Arabidopsis thaliana: one gene and its partners. The protein of the gene in region 2 interacts with the protein of the main gene of each other region in a pairwise test. Each region holds a gene or a part of one and is shown on either strand. Other genes may lie near its edges. The genes, in order: MAPR2, AT4G21570, GB2 and AT3G62560.

The links.
Region 1: the proteins of AT4G21570 (region 2) and MAPR2 interact in a protein complementation assay, tested with the Arabidopsis thaliana proteins (one large-scale study listed by BioGRID).
Region 3: the proteins of AT4G21570 (region 2) and GB2 interact in a protein complementation assay, tested with the Arabidopsis thaliana proteins (one large-scale study listed by BioGRID).
Region 4: the proteins of AT4G21570 (region 2) and AT3G62560 interact in a protein complementation assay, tested with the Arabidopsis thaliana proteins (one large-scale study listed by BioGRID).

What each region holds. Positions count from the first base shown.
Region 1 is NC_003071.7:10,606,884-10,610,678, reverse strand, and holds MAPR2 (membrane-associated progesterone binding protein 2), read right to left. Parts: upstream 1,263-3,795; 5' UTR 1,233-1,262; coding exon 930-1,232; 3' UTR 779-929; downstream 1-778.
Region 2 is NC_003075.7:11,470,212-11,475,692, forward strand, and holds AT4G21570 (organic solute transporter ostalpha protein (DUF300)), read right to left. Parts: upstream 2,811-5,481; 5' UTR 2,525-2,810; intron 2,065-2,524; 5' UTR 2,059-2,064; coding exon 1,792-2,058; intron 1,709-1,791; coding exon 1,586-1,708; intron 1,500-1,585; coding exon 915-1,499; 3' UTR 624-914; downstream 1-623.
Region 3 is NC_003075.7:16,985,495-16,990,982, forward strand, and holds GB2 (GTP-binding 2), read right to left. Parts: upstream 3,554-5,488; 5' UTR 3,346-3,553; coding exon 3,300-3,345; exon of another isoform or gene 3,186-3,299; coding exon 3,046-3,185; intron 2,637-3,045; coding exon 2,554-2,636; intron 2,192-2,553; coding exon 1,987-2,191; intron 1,894-1,986; coding exon 1,825-1,893; intron 1,717-1,824; coding exon 1,624-1,716; 3' UTR 1,346-1,623; downstream 1-1,345. Other genes in the region: AT4G35850 (Pentatricopeptide repeat (PPR) superfamily protein), read left to right, coding at 1-28, 194-287, 550-615, 718-795, 899-1,000, 1,089-1,187; AT4G35870 (early-responsive to dehydration stress protein (ERD4)), read left to right, coding at 4,838-5,488. UniProt on the Arabidopsis thaliana protein: Intracellular vesicle trafficking and protein transport.
Region 4 is NC_003074.8:23,134,911-23,140,119, reverse strand, and holds AT3G62560 (Ras-related small GTP-binding family protein), read right to left. Parts: upstream 2,835-5,209; 5' UTR 2,582-2,834; coding exon 2,453-2,581; intron 2,341-2,452; coding exon 2,209-2,340; intron 1,561-2,208; coding exon 1,240-1,560; 3' UTR 975-1,239; downstream 1-974. Other genes in the region: AT3G62550 (Adenine nucleotide alpha hydrolases-like superfamily protein), read right to left, coding at 3,046-3,133, 3,213-3,331, 3,557-3,666, 3,755-3,926; AT3G62540 (Pentatricopeptide repeat (PPR) superfamily protein), read left to right, coding at 4,807-5,209.

The DNA of each region.
Region 1 (3,795 bases), on a different chromosome or scaffold from region 2:
CGTTTTACAAATTGTGGGAAAGGATAAATACCTACCTGAGGATCAACATGGTGCCGAATCTCCTACCCCTCCACGTCTCCTCATTTATGTTCTAGGTTTGGTTCAAATCCAGCAAGGTAGCTAGTTCTTGGAGGTGGTGGTTTGTGCATTTTTTTATTTAAAATGTCAAAATAATATCTAAGTTAGGATGCCTCTCTCTTGATAAACAAGCATAGCTATAGGCCACAGCCACTACACACGACACAAGTCAACTCGAGCCAAGAACAACTCTACCCATGAACAGCTCTCCCTCAAACCTAAGACTTGGCGTTAAAGCAACATATTAGTCGCAAGAACGCCATGCCGAACAGGGCCGAAGTCATACAAGTGATGATAATAATTTAGACCGGGAGAAGTAAGAAAGAATCAAAGAAGACACACATTAGCTTCTATGAATTCTGAATGTTCATCATAACTATATTCTTCCAAATCTCATAACGCAAAAGACTAAAATTAACAACAACTTGGAACTTGTAAGATAATTTACACCGAATCCAAAACTACCAGTAAGTTTGGTGTTGCTCAGATTTCAGAAACCATCAGTTTTTCTTTCACCAGACACAATTAGCTCCAAGTATTTGCAAGATATGAAAGACACAAACCAATCTTTATATCCTCTCATCAAATACATATGAGACTTAAAACTCCTAAAATCCTAATCATCACAACAAAGTAACCTTTTTTTTTTGGTAAGCACAACAAAGTAACCTTAAGATCAGAATATGAAGACCACTGAGAACACGAAATCCCCGATTTATTTCATAGATAATTTGGTACTTATGGTAATTGTATCAAAACGATCAGATCCAAACACGAAATCAGAAAACACACAACACAAAGATCCTCACACACAATAGTTACATAACATAGTGCAATCTCAGAAGAGAGACCTAAGAGACAACACGGCCAACGACAGGATACTTAGCTTCAAATTTGGTCTCCCAATCATTAAGAGTATTGATCTCTTTCTCAGTGAGACCTTCAAGAGAAGGAGACACATCTTCTTCGTTCTTACTCATCTTACCCAAAGCTCTGCTCGCGTCTTTTCCGGCGAACATCGAGTAATCGCCTCCGGAGCCGTAGAAGGATTTTCCGGTGGTGACATCGAACACACGGCCTTTGATTGCGACGTAGATCGGCTTTGATTCGTCGGTGCCGTTGTATTGGCTTAGCTGCTCTGCGGTGAATTCCATCTTTTTCTTTAAAGCTCTGATCAATTGTTTCTGGAAAGAACCAAATAAAAGATAGTGAGAGATATATAACAGAGGATTTTTTTAAAAAAATTATAACTGAATAACTTTTTTTTAATAAGTGGAACAACTTTTTTTGTGTCGGTAATAAGTGGAGTAAACTTTATTCTTCAGATTTTTACAAGGAATATCAAAAAATATTTTATTTTTCTCTAATTAAAGTCGATAAAAATTCCAGAAATGCTTAATCTTTCAAGGAGCTTAATTTAAGCTGCTTAAACAACTTCGTCGGGTTTAAAGGACGGCTTTGGGAAAAGACAATTTAATTTGAACTAATTCCTAAGATAGAACACATTTGTATGTTTATTCCTACAGTAGAACACATCTTTTTTTTATTACTCAGATGTTTTCAGTTATTGTGTAATTACAATTAACACCCCTAATTAGTTTTAATTAATTATTATTATTTAATTCGTTTTTAACTAAAAATTAAATGAAAAAACAGTGATTATACATGTCATTATTCCATGTCATTACCATAATCCACGTCATTAATTATCTCCAAACTCCATAACGTTTGGGTTTCTTATTTCTTAGCTTTACTGTTCATCATCTCCCAAAAAAAAAAAAAACTGTCGCTTTCTTCCACTTTCTCTCTCGACGGAACGAAATCGATTTCTTTCGCCGTTTTGCTCTTTTCTCGTCTGTTCCGGCCGAAATTCAGACGCCGGAGTCGCATTTACGTAAGCGCGAAGTCACATTCGACATCTAAGTTCCGGTGAGTATCTTTCAATGAAGTAAGACTCTGACATCTAAGTTCAATCTCAAGTGATTCCCGTCACTGAAATCGTTTTCCGATGCGTAACGATGGTTTTTAAAGCTGGGTTTTAACGTCGACGTTGATTGACATATGGTGGCCGATTTCTTAGATCTATTTGATTTGACGGCTGAGTTACTGTTTGTTTGCCGACTGATTTATGATTTATCAATTCATCCGTGTCTGAGTTTTTTTTATGCTGTGACTGAGTTATGGTTTAACCTTACATCGATGTCTGAGTTTCTGTTATATGACGGCTGAGTTTGTTTATGTTATGGCTGAGTTTCTGTTTTGATATAGCTGAGTCTGGTTTATGTTTTAACTGAGCTGTTGTTATGTTATGGTTTGACTGAGTTTCTGTTAAAATATGGCTGAGTTAGATTTATCTTATGGCTGAGTTATGTTATGTGTGGCTGAGATAGGTTTATGTTATGACTGAGTTATGTTATCTATGGCTGAGATAGGTTTATGTTATGACTGAGTTATGTTATCTATGGCTGAGTTAGATTTATGTTTTGCCTGAGTTATGGTATCTGTGGATGAGTTTGTTTTATGTTATGACTGAGTTATGGAATGCTTACGGCTGATTTATGGTTATACAGATGTCTGAAGACCAAGCAAGGGAGTACCCTCCAAGACTTTACCAAGAGGGGGATTCTAATCTGGAGGGTAAAGGCATTAATCATAATATAAAGCTGGGAGAGTTCCCTGCAATTAGAGAATCAATAGGAGAAGAAATATGGGCAGAACTGAAAGAGACAGAGCTTGGATTAATTGCTAAGCTTGTTGATAGTCATTTTCTCTGGTCTGGTAAGACCGTACATTATCTACTATGCAGACAGCTGAGAATACTGAAGAAGGAGCTTTGGTGTATCGTGGCTGGTAAACCCATCCGGTTTGGATTGAACGAATTTCATCATATCACTGGTTTAAATATAGATGATCTGCCTACAGAAAAGTTTGAGCCTGAAGCTGACTACAAAGCGTTCTTCAGTGAATTGCGTGTGCCAACCGGTGAAGGTCCTAATCTAGATGAACTTAGGCAGGGCTTAGTAACGTGCAGAGCTTGGCCTACTGAAAAACGTAGATGGTTTGGGTTATTGACTCTTCTATCCATTGGACTTTTTGGCTTGCATACTAACTCTAGGATACCATTTGAGAGTGCCAAAAGAGTTTTCGACGACGAAGCCATGAAGACTTATCCATGGGGTCGGGCAGCATATGAAGCCCTTGTCGTTTCTATAAAGTTGCTGAGGCCTATTGGCAAGACGTACACTGTCAGTGGTCTGGTTTTCGTGTTGCAGGCTTGGGCGTATGAGTCAATCATCACCATCGCTGAGCGTTTTGGGAACGCTGTTAACGCGGATGAGATTCCGTTGCTTAGATGGGGTGGCAGCCGTACCCGTTCAACTATAGAATCGGTCATTGCTGAAGATATCAAAGCGAATGGTGGTGAGGTACGGTTTCGGCTCTGTTATGTTCTGTTTTTTATCAAATATTTATGTTACGGCTGAGTTAATGTTTTATTTTTCTCTGTGAAGGCTGAGTTATATTCTTTTTTTTTGGCAAATATGTTATGTGACGACTGAATTATGTTCTATAATGGCTGAGTTATATTAAGTGACGACTGAGTTATATTAAGTGATGGCTGAGTTAAACATACTGATGGGTTTTATTATCTCTCCTGTTGTAGCTGCGTGTTCGTACAATGGTTGAAAAGGCTGAGTTAAGCGAGCTGTTTCATTTTTG
Region 2 (5,481 bases):
TGGGAGATTGCGTGTGCTCACACGACACCTCTTTATGATGATGAATTGATGATGAAAGCTTTTCACGCGGTATGAACAAAACAACACGGAGGCAAGGCAACGAACTCTGTCTCTGTCTGGATCAACAACAAATCAATCACCATCGATTCTCGCGCAAATTAAATTAAATATAAATTTGATCGATTTCGAAAAACGAGAACTCGATTAACCCTAAATCGGAAATAATCTGACCTGTGGGCTGTGGAGTTGACAATCGGGTTATCAGAGAGAATCGTTCGAGCAGAGAGCCAAACCAATTCAATCCAGAGACTTTTTGTGTTTAGTCCTTTCGCACGCCTTTTCCCGTATATTACGTGCGACTTTTTTACCCTCCTTCAATTAATACATTACTCCAATTTTTATCTTCACAAATAAATTATTTTAATATTTTCATACATAAATGAGCTTTTGATTGGTTACAAATTCAGAACGATAGAATCATGAAAAATAATTTGATGATTTTTTTTAAGATTTCAACAACATTACTTTCGAATTTTACTACTCAATGAGAACGAGTGTTTTATTTTGTCACAGAAGTAAGAAGAATTTGAGTATTTGAACTGATTTTACAACAATTGAACAAAGACTAGAGTAACAATGGTGAAAAAGTTTCATTTCATGCATACGGGAAAGATATTAATATGAGTAGTGTTCTTTACTTCTTTTGATGAAAAGTGTAGTGGCTTTAACATTATTGTTCATATCATCTAAATTTTCAACTTTATTGTTTCTTTTTTCCCCAATCATGGAAACCAAAAGTTGTAAAGCAAAACCTTTAGATCTTTCTCCTCAACATAACAACATACAAGATCACCAAAGATTGGCTATAAAAATGGCTGGTTTAAAACCAGTCCATGTCCACTCTAACGCCCAAATCATTCGGTCTTTTTATCGAGTTTCTTCTTGGTCTCGCCGCTATAAGGACCAGCATGATAAGCGTGTTTCTGAACCGCAGCGAAGATAACCATCTCAAGACATACCAACACATTCTGAATTGCTTCTTGGATTTGTTCTACCTCCAACCAGAAATGGTGAGATTTTATGAATCCCATTGCCACCAGTATGTCTAGTGCTATTCCCTGCAGTTTCAGAATCAAAAGAATCTTATGAGTATATCCAAACATGAGAAATCTTGTTTTGAGGGGTTTACTGATTAATGCAAACATTACCTGCCAAAAGACAAAGAAGACAATTCCTTTGATGCAGAGGAACTTTGCGAGTGGATTATGAGGAGCAAGCTCCTTAGCAAACACATGGTAGAATATCACAAGAGAATACAAGGCCAGAGAAACCGAGAAATTGACAATGATAGTGAATGTCCAGCTCAACCATGAAGGATAAAACCCGATGAGCTGTAAAGCTATCATCAAAGTGGAGCACACGGGTCGAATGACCACAAATTGCCATGTCCAGTATTTCAAAAGTTTAAGAGTGTGACGATCCAAACGGACTACATGAGGCTGTCAAAACAATAGACACAAAGCTTTTAAGGGTAAAGAAGCAAATAGATATTAGATGAAATCATGCAATGAAGATAGAGACGAACCTGAAAAAGAGTCATTGGGAAAGAATGGTGAATCTCTCTTCCTTTGATTCCATCAGGCAAAATGTTTTTGCTCATAGATATGTTTAGATAACTATACATCAATGCCAAGAATTTGGCAATGACCTGCAAAATATCGAAAAAAATTGGTAAGTGTCGTCTCTACAATATGTTGTATACTAACACAAGCGATAAAACAATATACTCACAAGAGCTTCGTAGCATTCTTTGATGGATTCAAGAAAGAGGAAGAAGGTTTCACTTCCTTTGACTTCTAACAAACCAATAAAGGAAACAACGGCGTAGATAGGAGCCATAAGCACAATGATGAGTATAGCCTTTTGTTCCTTAGGGTTCTTCCAGTGGAAGAGATGCTGCGATACAAGCTGTATCGTGAAATGAAGTGTGAGCAAGACGGAAAACGCCGAGCAATAAAAAGTGATCTGTGGAGGCTTCAGTTTCGTTAGGTCCATCATTGTGTCCTGCATCAAAATTAATACACATAACTCTTTAGCATCAAGAAGCCATCAGACTTTGCACAAGAATTCTAATCAATCAAACATCTAAATCTTCACAAATGTTTCAGCATTATATTCAGCCAAATAGCTCCACATCAAAATTCACTCTTTAGCTTAACATTAATTTAAACTGTACAATGAAAAGCAAACATCTCATGAGATCTAGAAAGCTAAATGGTTGGAGCAATTAGATATCTCCGTATCAAAACAGAGTATATAACCGAATTAAAAACTCAAACTTTATAGATGACTGGGAAAACGGGTGATGAACTCGATAAACCCAATCAGACCCATTAATTTGAAAGGTCGAATTCTGATTTTGTCTATGTTCCCAAGACTGATTCAAAGCTAGATAAGCAAAATCTCTGTAAATCTGAACAAAGCAAAATTAGCTAACCAGAGAGAGAGAAAGAGAGGAACTAACCAGATAAGAGCTAGGGAAGAAGCGAAGATGAGACTCGGAGAGTGTGAAGAAAGTGAATCAGATCTCTTAGTAGTTAGATCATGAAGAATTGAGGGAGCATGAGACCGCCATTAATGGAGTCACAAACGTGGTCGTATTATAAAAATGGCGACGCGTTTACCACGTGAGAGAGACGCTACGATTGCATAAAAAGAAGTCGGCATTGGTATACATGTGTCTCTCTGATTCGTCCACACGGTTTTGTCGCATTTGTTGGAGAAAAGATAAGTCTTTTAAACAGAGGTCGGTATGGTATGTATTTGGTTTCAAGGATTCATGAAATTGATATATGATTGTGATGTAAGTTATTGATTTTTTCTTCATTCATTACACGTCATGGGCTGAGAGAAGAAATCAAAAGAGAGGATTTGTATCTTTGAGCCCAAAAAAAAAAGGCACCATCTTGGACCATTGGTTTGGTTGGACCAAATAATATAATGATGTGGTGAAAAGTTTTTTAGCGGTTATGAAAATCAAAATAAAAAAAAAAGGCGGTAAGAAAAATGGCAATGCAGTAGAAATGGTGGTTCAAAAATGGTTTTAGAAGTGAGATCATCTTTATGCTCATTTATCTTGGGTTTGTTCGGGCTCTAACACCATGTACAATTTTAATCATTTGAAAATAAGTGGAAAGATCTATACATTTCATATACTTTATATACTTATGTTGAATTAGCTCCACATCTTATTGGTAATGGTTTGACAGTTTGAATTATAGCAGAAATAAAAATAAATATATAGATTTAAGAAATATAATTGCTCCAAATGAATGACATATAGTTGAATGATTGGAAAAATAGGTGCAAATGGTTGCCTAAAATTAAGAAGTTGAAAGAGTTGAATGAGCATTTATCTATTTTTTTTACCATTTAAGATGAATAAGTTGGAAAAATGATTCAACCCTTTCAACTTAAAAAGTTGGAAAAATAAACTAATTATAAAGAAATTTTTTCAACTTGTATATCTTCTATTTCACAGAGAAATGAGTTGAATAATATTCAACTTTTATTTTTCAACTCAAAATTTCCAATTATTTCATCTCTATGCAACCATTTTCAGCAAAACCAAGTTGAACATTATTCAACTCATTCATCTACAAAAGAGTAGATGAAATGGTTGAACAAGTTTCTTTTATAATTTGTTCATTTTTCTTTTTTTTTTGTTGAATGAGTTGAATCAATTTTCCAACCTATTCATTTCAAATCGTAAAAATAAAATAAATAGTTATTCAACATTTTCAACCTTTTATTTTAAAACAACCAATTCATCTAAATAATTTTATTACTTTATAACAATCGCTTGTTGAGGAGATGACTTAATCACTTTTCATTTTCTCTTCGTGAATTCGTTTTACTAAGTTTCCGTTACTTTCAAATGTACTCAAAACAAAAAAAACAATCGCTTGTTACTATAATAAAAGATCGATGAAACAAGATTCTAATGTTAAGCATTTTGAAATGTTACGAAACCGTACAAACAATTTATGTGATTAACGTCAAATGCATAAAAACGCAAACACAAAAAATAGCAGTTAAATCTTATAAAGATATTTCATAAAATATTACACACTCATGAAAGGTCTTAAAAGCTTAATTAGTTCTCATTATCAAAGAAAAAAATAAAAGCTTAATTAGTTCTTACCGAAAAAAACAAAGCTTAATGTTGATGAGTGAACGAGTCTTTCCACGTCGTCCACACTGTCCTCGTCGTCCTCGTTGTCTACGTCGTCTTCGTGGTCCAGGTCGTCGTAATTGGAAGTGGCGAGAGAAAATCCGATTTGGCGGTGCCCAAAATCAAATATCGTATGATATCTCTGAGTAAAGGCATTCCAAGAATATTGTAAACAAATTAATATATAAATTTAATTGATAAGTAATTTACGAAACAAAACGTACTTAATGTGACGAAATGGAGAGATAGTCCTCCGAAGTGAAATAAAAAGCACATCGGGCAAATAATTTGCTACCGCTGCTGCCACTTTGGCATTTGTAAATATCATCCTTTCCATATGACTAGAAAATAGAAAACGAAAAGAGAAAGTATTAAGTTAACATAAAACAACAAATAATAATAAAATGTTGTAAATAAAACTTACACGTCTACCACAAATTTGAGAGTAATCTCTCGGGTAATGAGATAGAAAAATAAATATAAATGATAAATTGCATTAGTAAATAGTATTTGATACAAAATAAAATTTAAACATTAAATCCTTTACTAACCGGGGGACCGTATATATACGGACAGCTCATATGAATTAAAGTTTTATGGGTGAGTGATCCTAAAAAGAAAAAGAAGATGTAAAGTTTATGTACTGAAAACACACATATATAGATAGACTCATTATTGTAATTAATTATTACATGATATCCGTTGACTTGGATGGAATGCATCCTAATGATTCATCTATTACCTTCAATGAGGTTGAAGTATATATGCTCAACGACAAAATGAATCTGATCAACATCCCGAACGATTGTTTCTCCTCCCAAATTATAGCTGTCACCATAATGAACTTATTCATAGTAATTCTGTAGCCACACCGACAATATATTTCGATGTAAAAATCTTTGATCCATCATATTTGTCCTAAAATTATTTCTAATTTATTTCTTATTTTTATTTGTTATCTAAATATACCTAATCTCATAGCTCTATTAATATTTTGACGTTAAATCATTGTATAATAAATAAATTGATGTACGTAACATGTTCAAATATATACATTTATTTTCAGTAGACTTTTAGACACACAATTTATATGATTAGAGTCGAATGCATAAAATCTCAAACGCGAAAAATAAGCGGTTAAACTTTTAAACACAAAATAATATAAAAATTGAGCGGTTAAATCCCAATTGCGGCGGTTGAATAGTACCGATCAAACCAAAGATTTTGGAATTTGACGGAACAAATAA
Region 3 (5,488 bases), 5.5 Mb from region 2:
ACACTTACTGCATGCTACAAATCATGAGGTACAATAGAACACACACTTTGATGTTAATTTGCATCTAGATGTTAAAACATAGGCAGTCTTTAGCTACGAAATTAACTTTTGTTACTAGTATACTACACTATTAACTCTCGTTGAGAATCAAAACATGATTAACGTATATGCATCTTATTTTATATCTACGCAGGTGCTATCTACATTCGCAAGACTTTGAGAATGGTCTCAAACTGTTTCAAGATTACATGAGCGCAGACAAAATCCCTGCCATGGAACTATACACGGTAACACAATGATCTGACCTCATAACTGGTGTTTTCTATATTTGCTTTGAGAGTGAACGTCTTCTTTACTATATATGTCTTATAGTTGTTGATTCTCAATTGTCAAACCCCGCAAATGTATATACAAATAAATCTAAATTCTCAACTAACGCATTAGTCGAAGAGAATTATGCTTCTGTCCTGTTTCCCATACTTGGTTCAACATATCTTTGGGTGATATGTATATGCTGAAGATGTCAATTTATTTGTTTTATTTTTACAGACGCTTATAGAAGGAGCTATGACAGGATACACCGATAATGGAATGAAGATTGCTCAGGACACTCTGGTAATGCTTATTGGCTCGAGCTGTACTGAAAAAAAGAATCTATGAAGTAAACAAAACACGGGCCAATAGTAGAGCCTGATGACAATTTGTTTGTAAATGCAGATCCAAATGAACGAACGCAATTTCTTCTTAGACCCAAGAACTGGAAGCAATCTGTTACTCAAAGCCGCTGGTGAAAAGGTAAAAATCTTGAACTTCCCCTAAAAACTTTGGAAATATCTTACTGATATAAAGAGTTGGCTTAGTGAAAGTTAAAAAAAAAAAAACATTTTCTTTATGGCAGACGGGAGGGTACACAGTTGCAAATATGATATGGGATCTGATGCTAGCTCGGAATATTCTACCAACACTAGCTGCTGTTGAAGCTTACTACAAGGGCTTGAAAGTAATAAAAAACCTTTTTCTTATTTGACCACAAACTTTCTTTCTCTTGGTATTAGTTATTGATGGTTTTTGTGGTGTGGTAATCATAGGAACGCGAAATACCAGAGGATGATCCGAGACTGATGTTAGTGACGCGAACATACAATAACTTGCGGCTTAGGGAAGGGACATTACCTAATAGGCGTTAAAGCAAAGGGACCAAGAGGAAGAAAGATGGTATCATGGCTTCTTCGTTTTCTACTTCTATTTGCTTATTGGGATCTCTGTGAACCATCTGGGTATTTTAAAACCAGTTCGTTTAGATGAATAAGGAAATTTCACCTAGATGATGACTGGATATTATTCTGATTTGATTTCAATTACTTAACCTTGAGAGCTTCATACAAAGCGACAACGTTTTAAATAAGCCAACGCCTGTTTGGTTTATAAAGATCAGCCTGTTCACTCTTAAATGCACCCGTTTGGTTTTTTGATAAAAGACAATCTGGGAAAAAGAGAAAAAAAGAAAGAAAGAAAGAGAAACTATACATTCTGGTGTATCCATTTGCAGAGGTAAATAGAAGCAATAGTAGTTTCTGAATCACCAGATTACAGCAGATATGTGACACCTCTCTCGAGGATTTTTTAACCACAACAGCCACCTCCCTGAGAGATCGTACCATCTCTTCCTCCAGCTGCACCTTGAGTACGCCCGTAACCAATCTTGATACCTGATGACTGCAAAATTTAGAGAGACCAAGGGAATTGAATCACATTGTAACACAATCGAGGGATTAGAGAACACCAGAAGACTAAGTATATTGCCAGATTCAACAAGGAAATTACCTCGTTGGATACATCAAAGACACCATCCTGAATGTTCTGGAGGATCTTGGCAGCAGTCTCTATGAAGGCCTGTTGGAATCCAGAAAAAGAAGACAAAAGTCTCCATGTGATTACAGCCAAATAACAGGATGGGGAAAAAGAGTTGCAAGGAAGAAATGTCACCTCCTCAACGTTTTGAGCAGTTCTTGCAGATGCTTCTAAGAATAGCAGGCCATGTTCTTTGGCAAACTGTTGACCTTCCTCTTTGCTAACAGCTCTCTTGTGAGCAAGATCACATTTGTTCCCAATCAGCATAATACTCATGTTAGGATTTGCATGTTGCCGAGCATCCTCCAACCAGCTTGCCAGATGGTTAAACGTCTCTCTCCTGCAACCCAAAGAACCAAGAATTTTGAGCTTCAGAAAGATCAAAGCATGAAAAACCTCAATGATAAAACTCTTGCAATTCTTCATGTCCTTCATAACTTTCAAAATTCCAAAACAATGGAGGAAAAATATCTATTTTAGCAAGAATTTAAGATGGATGGTTAACTTAACATCCTCCCAAACAAGCATTGCCAATATTATAGCCAAGGATTTTGTTCAGATAAAAGTAACTTCCCAATTTCCAAAACCTTTCCAACAGTCTAGGTTTATCAAATCACAAATACAGAACCAATCACTTCCAAAACCTTGCTGGGGAATTCAGAAGTTCGAGCTGATATATATTGTCGCAAGGCAAAAACTAACCTGGTGATGTCATAAACCAGTAAAGCTCCGGCTGCTCCTCTGTAGTATGATCTGGTGATGGATCTAAAAGATTCTTGTCCAGCCTAAAAAATATCATACGAAACTTTAATCAGAAAGCACAACTCCAACACATACATCATCTAATGGAAGAACTATTGACCAGAAGAAATCACAACAAGGAATGCACTGGTGAACTCAGCTTCTATTACAATAAGCCTATGAAACTTAATCAAGAACCGTGCAATGATTAACTTTTTTGAAATTTTACCCCACTTTGAGTCTCTGGACATGATTTTCAAACATAATTTTTGGTATTGGCAATTCTAATGAGGCATTGTTTATATAAAAACGAAGAAATTGAATTGATTATGACAATTAATCTTCTTAATCACATCCTGCCTTAGGGAGAAAAAAAAAACAATCCTAATCGATAAAACGTGATTAGTTCCCTGATGACCTAATTACGACCAAGAGAAGAGAGAGGAAGCGTACGGTGTCCCAAATTTGGAGTTTGATGGGGCGTCCATCGACGGTGACCATCCGAGCACCGAACTCAACACCAATGGTGAGATCGTGGACTGGTTGGAACCTCTTATCAGTAAATTGCAGAAGCAGACACGATTTTCCCACACCTGAAACGACAAAAAAAACAACAACGAAAACACATGAAAATCGGCACGAAATGGATTTAACCCAGAAAAATAAAACAATTGGGAATTAAGAAAGGTGAAAGATCGGTCTCTCACCTGTGTCTCCGATGATTATGTACTTGAAGAGATAATCGTAAGACATGGTTGATGAATTTGAGCAAGGTCGATGATGAATTAGCGCAGGTCGATGGGTTCGAGAGAAGGAGATGTGAAAGAGAGGAAGAAGAGATTGAAGAGTACAAGTCACCGACGTGCTTTTTGATTTCGAGGTTTCTCGATGAAGAAGCTATCTTCTCCTTCTCATCTTTTATAATCTTTTTACTTAATTACTAAAATTAAAGGGATCTAATGACGAATTATCTGAATAATTGTTTTTCTTTTGTATCCTTAAGTTTCAACAGTAAATAAAAATCCACACAAAATACTCTATAGTATAATTTATTAATTATTATAGTCGTTTTAGTTAATTATTTAAAAACAGAGGGACCAGATGAAAAATATCTGGGAAACAAATTAAAGCTTAAAATCCATCTCTGCCTTTGGCTCCGTCCACTCTGACTCGACTAGTGCATCATCCATTGTTGGGCATTTGATAGTTTAAAGTGGGCTTTTTTATTTTTTTATAATGTGGGCTTTTTTCTTTGATGTTGAATGGCTTGGTTAGTGGATTTCGAGACCAGCATAAGTTTCTTTTTTCTATTCATCTGAAGCATGGCGCAGTCCATAATCGCTAAATTGATGATACAAAAGAACTTGCACATCAAAACTGTGAACTTACCAGAAATTTGCATTAGCAAAAGCTTCTTTTATTATATGATGGGGAATACACACGTACCTTGATACAAGGCTACTAATATCAATTGTGTCCGGATTATCACGGTAGTATGCTCTGTTTCATATCTCTTATGGAAATTACATAACTGTGTTTAAGATGAATGTTCTAGTGGGAAGATAAGAAGAACTCAAATCCTACATTAGAGATGAGTTCCTTACAAATGCTTATAGTCTACAATGGCAAATTCGAGAAGCAAATTCGAAACAGAGTTCCATCCATTAGAGAACAGGGGATGTTATTTCATCCCAAACTCAAACCGATCTTAGTTATGTTATTTCGTATTTTTTTGGGTATTTTACCTTCAAATTATTTGATTAATTTCATGCTTTAAGGAGAATTTGATTAAAATGAATATACAAGAGTTATGAATTTGATTATATTCTCTTATTCTACTAATCACGAAATATTTAGAGAATATGTAATTATCGTTTAAAGAACTATCGTTTTATTCATAAAAACTCTGTAAATTACCAATTTGATATACTTCTATCAAATTATTTATATTTTTTAGTTGTGTTAATTCGTTTTTTTTGGGTGTATTTATCTTAAAAAGATGGGATTAAATTTCATGATTTAAGGAGAAGAATCTTTTGAGAGATTCGAAACCGCGATAGCATTCCTTGTTCCTCCTTTTCTATTTACCTTTCTACTTTTGCCATCATCTTCGTCGATCTACTTCCCCCAAAGTCTAACCCTAAAGCCCCCAAATTTCTCCTGATCAAAACCTTGTTGTATAAATCCTGAATCTCTGAAGAAACTTCGAAGATTTGGGTTTCTCAATTTGGTTGAGAAATTCGCGATGAATCGCAATTTTTCACCAGCTGCGATGCCACCGATTTCATCAATGACAATAGATAATTCATTCTCTCCTCCTCCATCTTCCGGCGACTTACCTGAAATCCCAGATGCTTGGTACGGCAACATTCAGTATCTGCTTAATATCTCGGTCATTGGTCTCTTATGCTGCGTCTCCATCTTTCTCTTCGTTAAGCTACGCAGCGACCACCGTCGTATGCCTGGTCCTTCTGCTCTCTTCTCTAAGCTCCTCGCCGTTTGGAAAGCCACGTGTCGCGAGATCGCTCGTCACTGTGGTGCTGATGCTGCTCAGTTTCTTTTAATTGAAGGTGGAAGCTTTGTGCTTCTTTTCTCCATTGCTGTTTTAGCTGTTTCGGTTATGCTTCCGTTGAATTTATATGCTGGGACTGCTTTGTTGAGTGATGAGCTTTCGAAAACGATGATTACGCATATTCAGAAAGGTTCAGCTTTGCTTTGGCTGCATTTTGTGTTTGTTGTTATTGTTGTTGTTATCTCGCATTTTGGAATCGCTGCTATTGAAGCTAGGTTGAAGTTTACTAGGTTTAGAGATGGGAATGGGAATATCAGTGACCCGAACGCGAATTCTACTGCTGTGTTTACTATAATGGTGCAGGGTTTGCCTAAGAATTTAGGG
Region 4 (5,209 bases), on a different chromosome or scaffold from region 2:
TAAAAACTGAAACCAATCACATAAAAGTCAGATAGCTCAGAGGGAGGCACGTGTTCTTGGCTTAGATATCACGTGGGAATGAGGGATCCATGTGCATCCCTTTACCCCAAAAACCAAGTTAATACTTCTTCTAAATTTATTTTTCTCTTCTCCACGCAATCAATCGAATGAGTTTTAATATTTTGACATTTTTTTATATATAAAAAAAACTTTTCTCATTCAAGCAAAAAACTTAAATCAAATTATTCATTTGGTCACATTTTCGTGCTTGGTATTTCATGGGTCCTGGGACATAGAACCAGTCTCTAGCTAGTGGCGAATATAAAAAAGAAACAGCATAGTAAAAAGAAGAGCAAAAACTGTAACAAGGAATCAATCCAAAGGAGAAAAAATTAATAACAAATGATAGAAATAATACGTTAAAAAAAAACTTTTGATATTAACTTTGGGCCACGTAGAGAAGAATCAGTCCAAAGGAGAAATGTTCTGAAAAAGTTATAAAAAGAGAAAGTGAGCACCTAATAGTTTTCTTACACATCCATATTTGCATAGTCCGTAGACATATATATGCTTGAGCTGCAAAATCTTGAGTCGCAAAATCTAATCTATTAGCCTTATTACGCTGCGACTTGAACGTTTGGAAGCGGCTGAGATCAAAGACGCATTGTGATGGTGCTAAAAAGCAAATTTTTTTACTTATTTTGTGAACTATTTTGGAGTATTATTGTTCACATATTTTAATGAAAATAAATACATGGTTATCCATAGATCTGTTTGTGTTCATTTCACAATACCTAGAAAGAAGAAAAACAGACATAATGATAAGTTCACAAAGAGACATAACACATGTAAAACAATATACGTACACTCATTATGGTACATCTATGTGTCAAATTGATTGGTTTTCAGTGTAGGACATTGTGATTGTTAATTGTCAAACTCGATTCACATGGGGTTTTCTCTACATTACATTATTAAAGTAAAAGTGTTCATCTTTCGAATTTTCATAAAAAAGCTAAGATACAGCCATTTCTTAAGCCCCACACAGTTACACAGTCACAGACAAATGGGTTCACACTTTTCATAGGATTCAACTTTGGTCTGTAAACACAAAATTGATAATTTAAAAGCCGTCAAATCTTGTTGTATACACACATTAATCGTAATTATACATTAGGTTATAACACGTACAGATACCAATCACACAGTATAGATAGATAAGACTTAAATATGATTGATCTAGTCGATATATTGAGAAACCCATTTAAATCCTTCGCCGTAACCCATCTTTCTGACAATGCTGCACATGAACACCTCAAGAGGACGAACATTTGTTCCTGCTAGATTCACTTTACCTTTCCCAGTGGTGAAACTGGTGAGGCCTAGATGATAACGCAGCTCGTCTTCTGATGCAGCGTACGGAATGTCGATTTTGTTTCCAAGGATGAGGAAAGGGACATTTGCTAGGGATTCATCAGAGAGAAGAGCGTCAAGCTCTTTCTTTGATTCTGCAAACCTCTCTTTGTCATATGCATCAACTAGGTATACCACTGCATCAACCTAATACGAGACAATAATAAAGTTACAAACTTGAAGATAGAATGCAAAGAGGGTAGCTAATAGAAACACCGGAGTCTATTAATCTCTTGATTCACTGGAATCATCAGCTATGAGAATGTAAATCACAAGGGACCTCATGACTCTAAAACTGACAGTAAGAGTAGTCTATAGCTATACAATCTTCTAATTTTCAACCTCCACTGGCTCCACATACCAATCACAATGTCATTTTAAACTACAGTATATGATGTATATGTATATCTATCATCTGAAGATTTTACTATAGCTCAATCATTTCAAACTATCATCTGCAAACTTATATAACCCAACGGAGCAACACAGTGGCTAAGGAACAGAGTAGGAGTAGTACACAGCAAGAGCTTACTAGGTACACATAACCAGCAGAATGTAATCACAGGACCTCATGCTGCAACATTCAAAAGAGAATTGCTATATGACAAACTTCATTGAAGATTTCACTTCACCTCTATCATCTAACTATTGTTTATATGGGCACAGGGAAGATTGTAATCTATAACAGAGTCAGCTTAGAGTCTACATACAACTATACGAGCGCAATAGTCCTTCCAAAGACTTGCTAAATTGATTGACCTAACAATAAAATCCAAAGAAGAAAGAAGATCAAACCTTAGCGTAATAGTCCTTCCAGACTCTACGAGCAATCTGATGACCTCCCAAATCGAAGGCTTTGAACTTGATTTTGCCGATACTAAGCTCTTCCGATGTCGGATGCTGTGTCGGCTGATGCTGGACCAGTCTCTGAAACCCAAATCAAACGATTATCGCTGATTAAGACTTTGATTCGTTCGCGCTAAGTAAAAGAAACAAGATTCTAGACAGCGATTACTGATATGGCTCGAAGAAAACGAACCTCGTCCTTTAACATGTGAAGCAAGGTGGTTTTGCCGGCGTTGTCGAGACCTAGAAACAGAATCTTCGCTTCTTTCTGCCATAGTCCCAGAGTTGCCAGAACTCCATAGAACCAATCCACCAGGAACATCGCTTCTTCTTCTTCTTCTTCTTCTTCTTCTCTCTCGCGAGATTGAAGATTTTCACGAAGCTTCGAACACGGAAACGGCGACGTTTAAGTATGACTGTGTCGACTGGATGAGTAACAGATATACTTTGGGCCTTGAGGCCTTTATTGAACTTTGAAGCGAACAACAATTAAGTGTTCAAACAACAAAATTGCAAATATTCAAAACTTGGTATATGGTTCATTACATTCTTCTATACGTTAAATTGAAATTTGCGTTTACATTAGTTTTTAATTTGGCATTGTATGTAGAGAATGTAGATTTGAATTTAATTGGTTGATTGATGTCATTGTCAGCTAGTTTTATATAAGCAAAAATATCTGCTAAATTTGTTTAAACCGTTATGTATTTTATTATCGCATACGAAGATTGATTCAAGTGTTACACCAGTTCTTTCGAAACATATACACAATGCAATCATATGAGCTTAATTATCTTGAGCTTGCTTCTTGACGATAACCACAGGACACTTGACTCGTTTGGCGCAATACTCGCTCACACTCCCTAGCAAAGCCCTATCAAATATATCAAATGATTATCAAATAACCATTAAACCAAAATATTTTTGTTTCTTATAAGAGATTGAAACCTTACCTTTTGAAGAAGCCATAGTCATGAGTGCCCATTACTAACATATCAACTCTAAGTTTCTGAACTGCGTTGCATATAACTTCCTTAGCATCTCCTCTTCCAACTCGTCTCTCTATATTAATCTGCACATTAATTTGGTTATATTTACATTTATTTCGCCAACTCTCTTTGAAAACAACCATATTTTGCTTATCATATGTTATATTTTTTGTACTAAATATTGCTCATGATAAACAGATTAACTCATAACTACTTGATTAAATTCACTTTCTCATAATTTCTCAAGTTTTTTAAGCAAGTATAATCCAGCAAATTAAGTGATAAAAAATCGATAGAAATAAGCTTACATCAGACTCATAATCTTGGTACACGGTTCGAGACCGAGCCATGACCGATTCCACGAGCTCGTATTCATACTTCTTCAAAGCTGCAACCGGGTCTCCTGTCACTATAAACCCTGGAAATCGACCAAACAAAAATCTATAACTAAAGTGAACAGATTATAATTAGGGAAAGATATGAATCGTGAAAGAACGAGGACTAACCTGCGGCATCGAGGGAAGAGTAAACGGGAAGAGGGGGCTTGACGTAGAGGAGGATGAGTGTATTATTGGAACCATATGGAAAAAGATTGTCAAGACTCCATGACAGAGCTTCCATGCTCTCTTCGCTTTCGTCTACTGCTACTACTATCTTTCTCTCCTTTGTTTCCTCCATTTCTTTACCTTTCTAAAAAAAAAAACTGTTTTCTTTTGCTTTCAATTATTAGAGAAGAAATATATTATGAAGAAGACCTGATGGAAGAAGAGATTATGATTGTGTTACTATTTATACAATTAGCTAGGCAAAACCCACTTGATTTCTCATTTTGGAATTAAGTGTTTTCATTTAGATATTTGCAGACACTATCCTTTGTGTAATTTTTACATTAGATAAGATATAAACCCACATAGGATTGATTGATAACCAAATACAGAAAACTATCGTTTTTCTTTCAGGGGTGACTCTTATCTACAATATGCGATATTTTTATGTAGATAATTCATGATTTTTTATAGAATTATTTCATGCTTCTGAACTACTATGTTATTATAGATTTTAGGTGAATCAATATTTATGAACTTAATCTGGAATCTGATTTTCCTCATATATCCCTTAGTTTTATATACATCCCGCAGGGTTATTGATGATTGATGTTACACTGATTGACTGATCTTGATTTTCAGTTATGTAATATCCATAAACACGTATACAAAGACAACGTGAACTAAGAGAAATGTAAGATAGAATCAAATAAATCTAAAAATAAATTGGTCCCCTAAGAAAAACTTGAGAAAATATCACGACCCTAAAACGAAGATAAGATGCATACAGATACCTTCCAACTAAAAAATAAAAATTCTTTATGCGTTTGAGCTTTAATGCTCCTGGTGGACCCAATGGTTATATGTGACCAGATCAATGGGCCTTTAATGGGTCAAAATTATTATCACTCAAAGCTTCTAATCAAACAAAGGCCCAAATACGTGAAGAGCTCTCCGCCGTAAATCAGTGGCTTTTCACCGACTTCGCCATTGCTAATCGCCGTCGAGCTTCCATGGCTGCTGCTCCATGGCTCTATCTCTCTAGGAGAAGAAGCTCCACTCAGACTTCATTAAGAAGATTCCTCATTTGCTCTTCTTCATTCGATGCCGATGAATTCATTTCCAGTCAAAGCCGCGTAATCGGCGGGAGAGGAGAAGAGGAAGTACGATTTTCCGGTGCTCTCTTCTCTCGTATGATTCATTCTTCTACTTATCATCCTTACCGTCAAATTCCATTGCCACACTCCTCTGTACAACTGCTTGATGCGAGTCTTGGGTGTAGAGGTTTCTCTAGTGGTAGTTCTAATGTTAGTGATGGATGTGATGAAGAAGTTGAATCTGAATGCGATAATGATGAAGAAACTGGGGTCAGTTGTGTTGAATCAAGTACTAATCCGGAAGAAGTAGAGAGAGTCT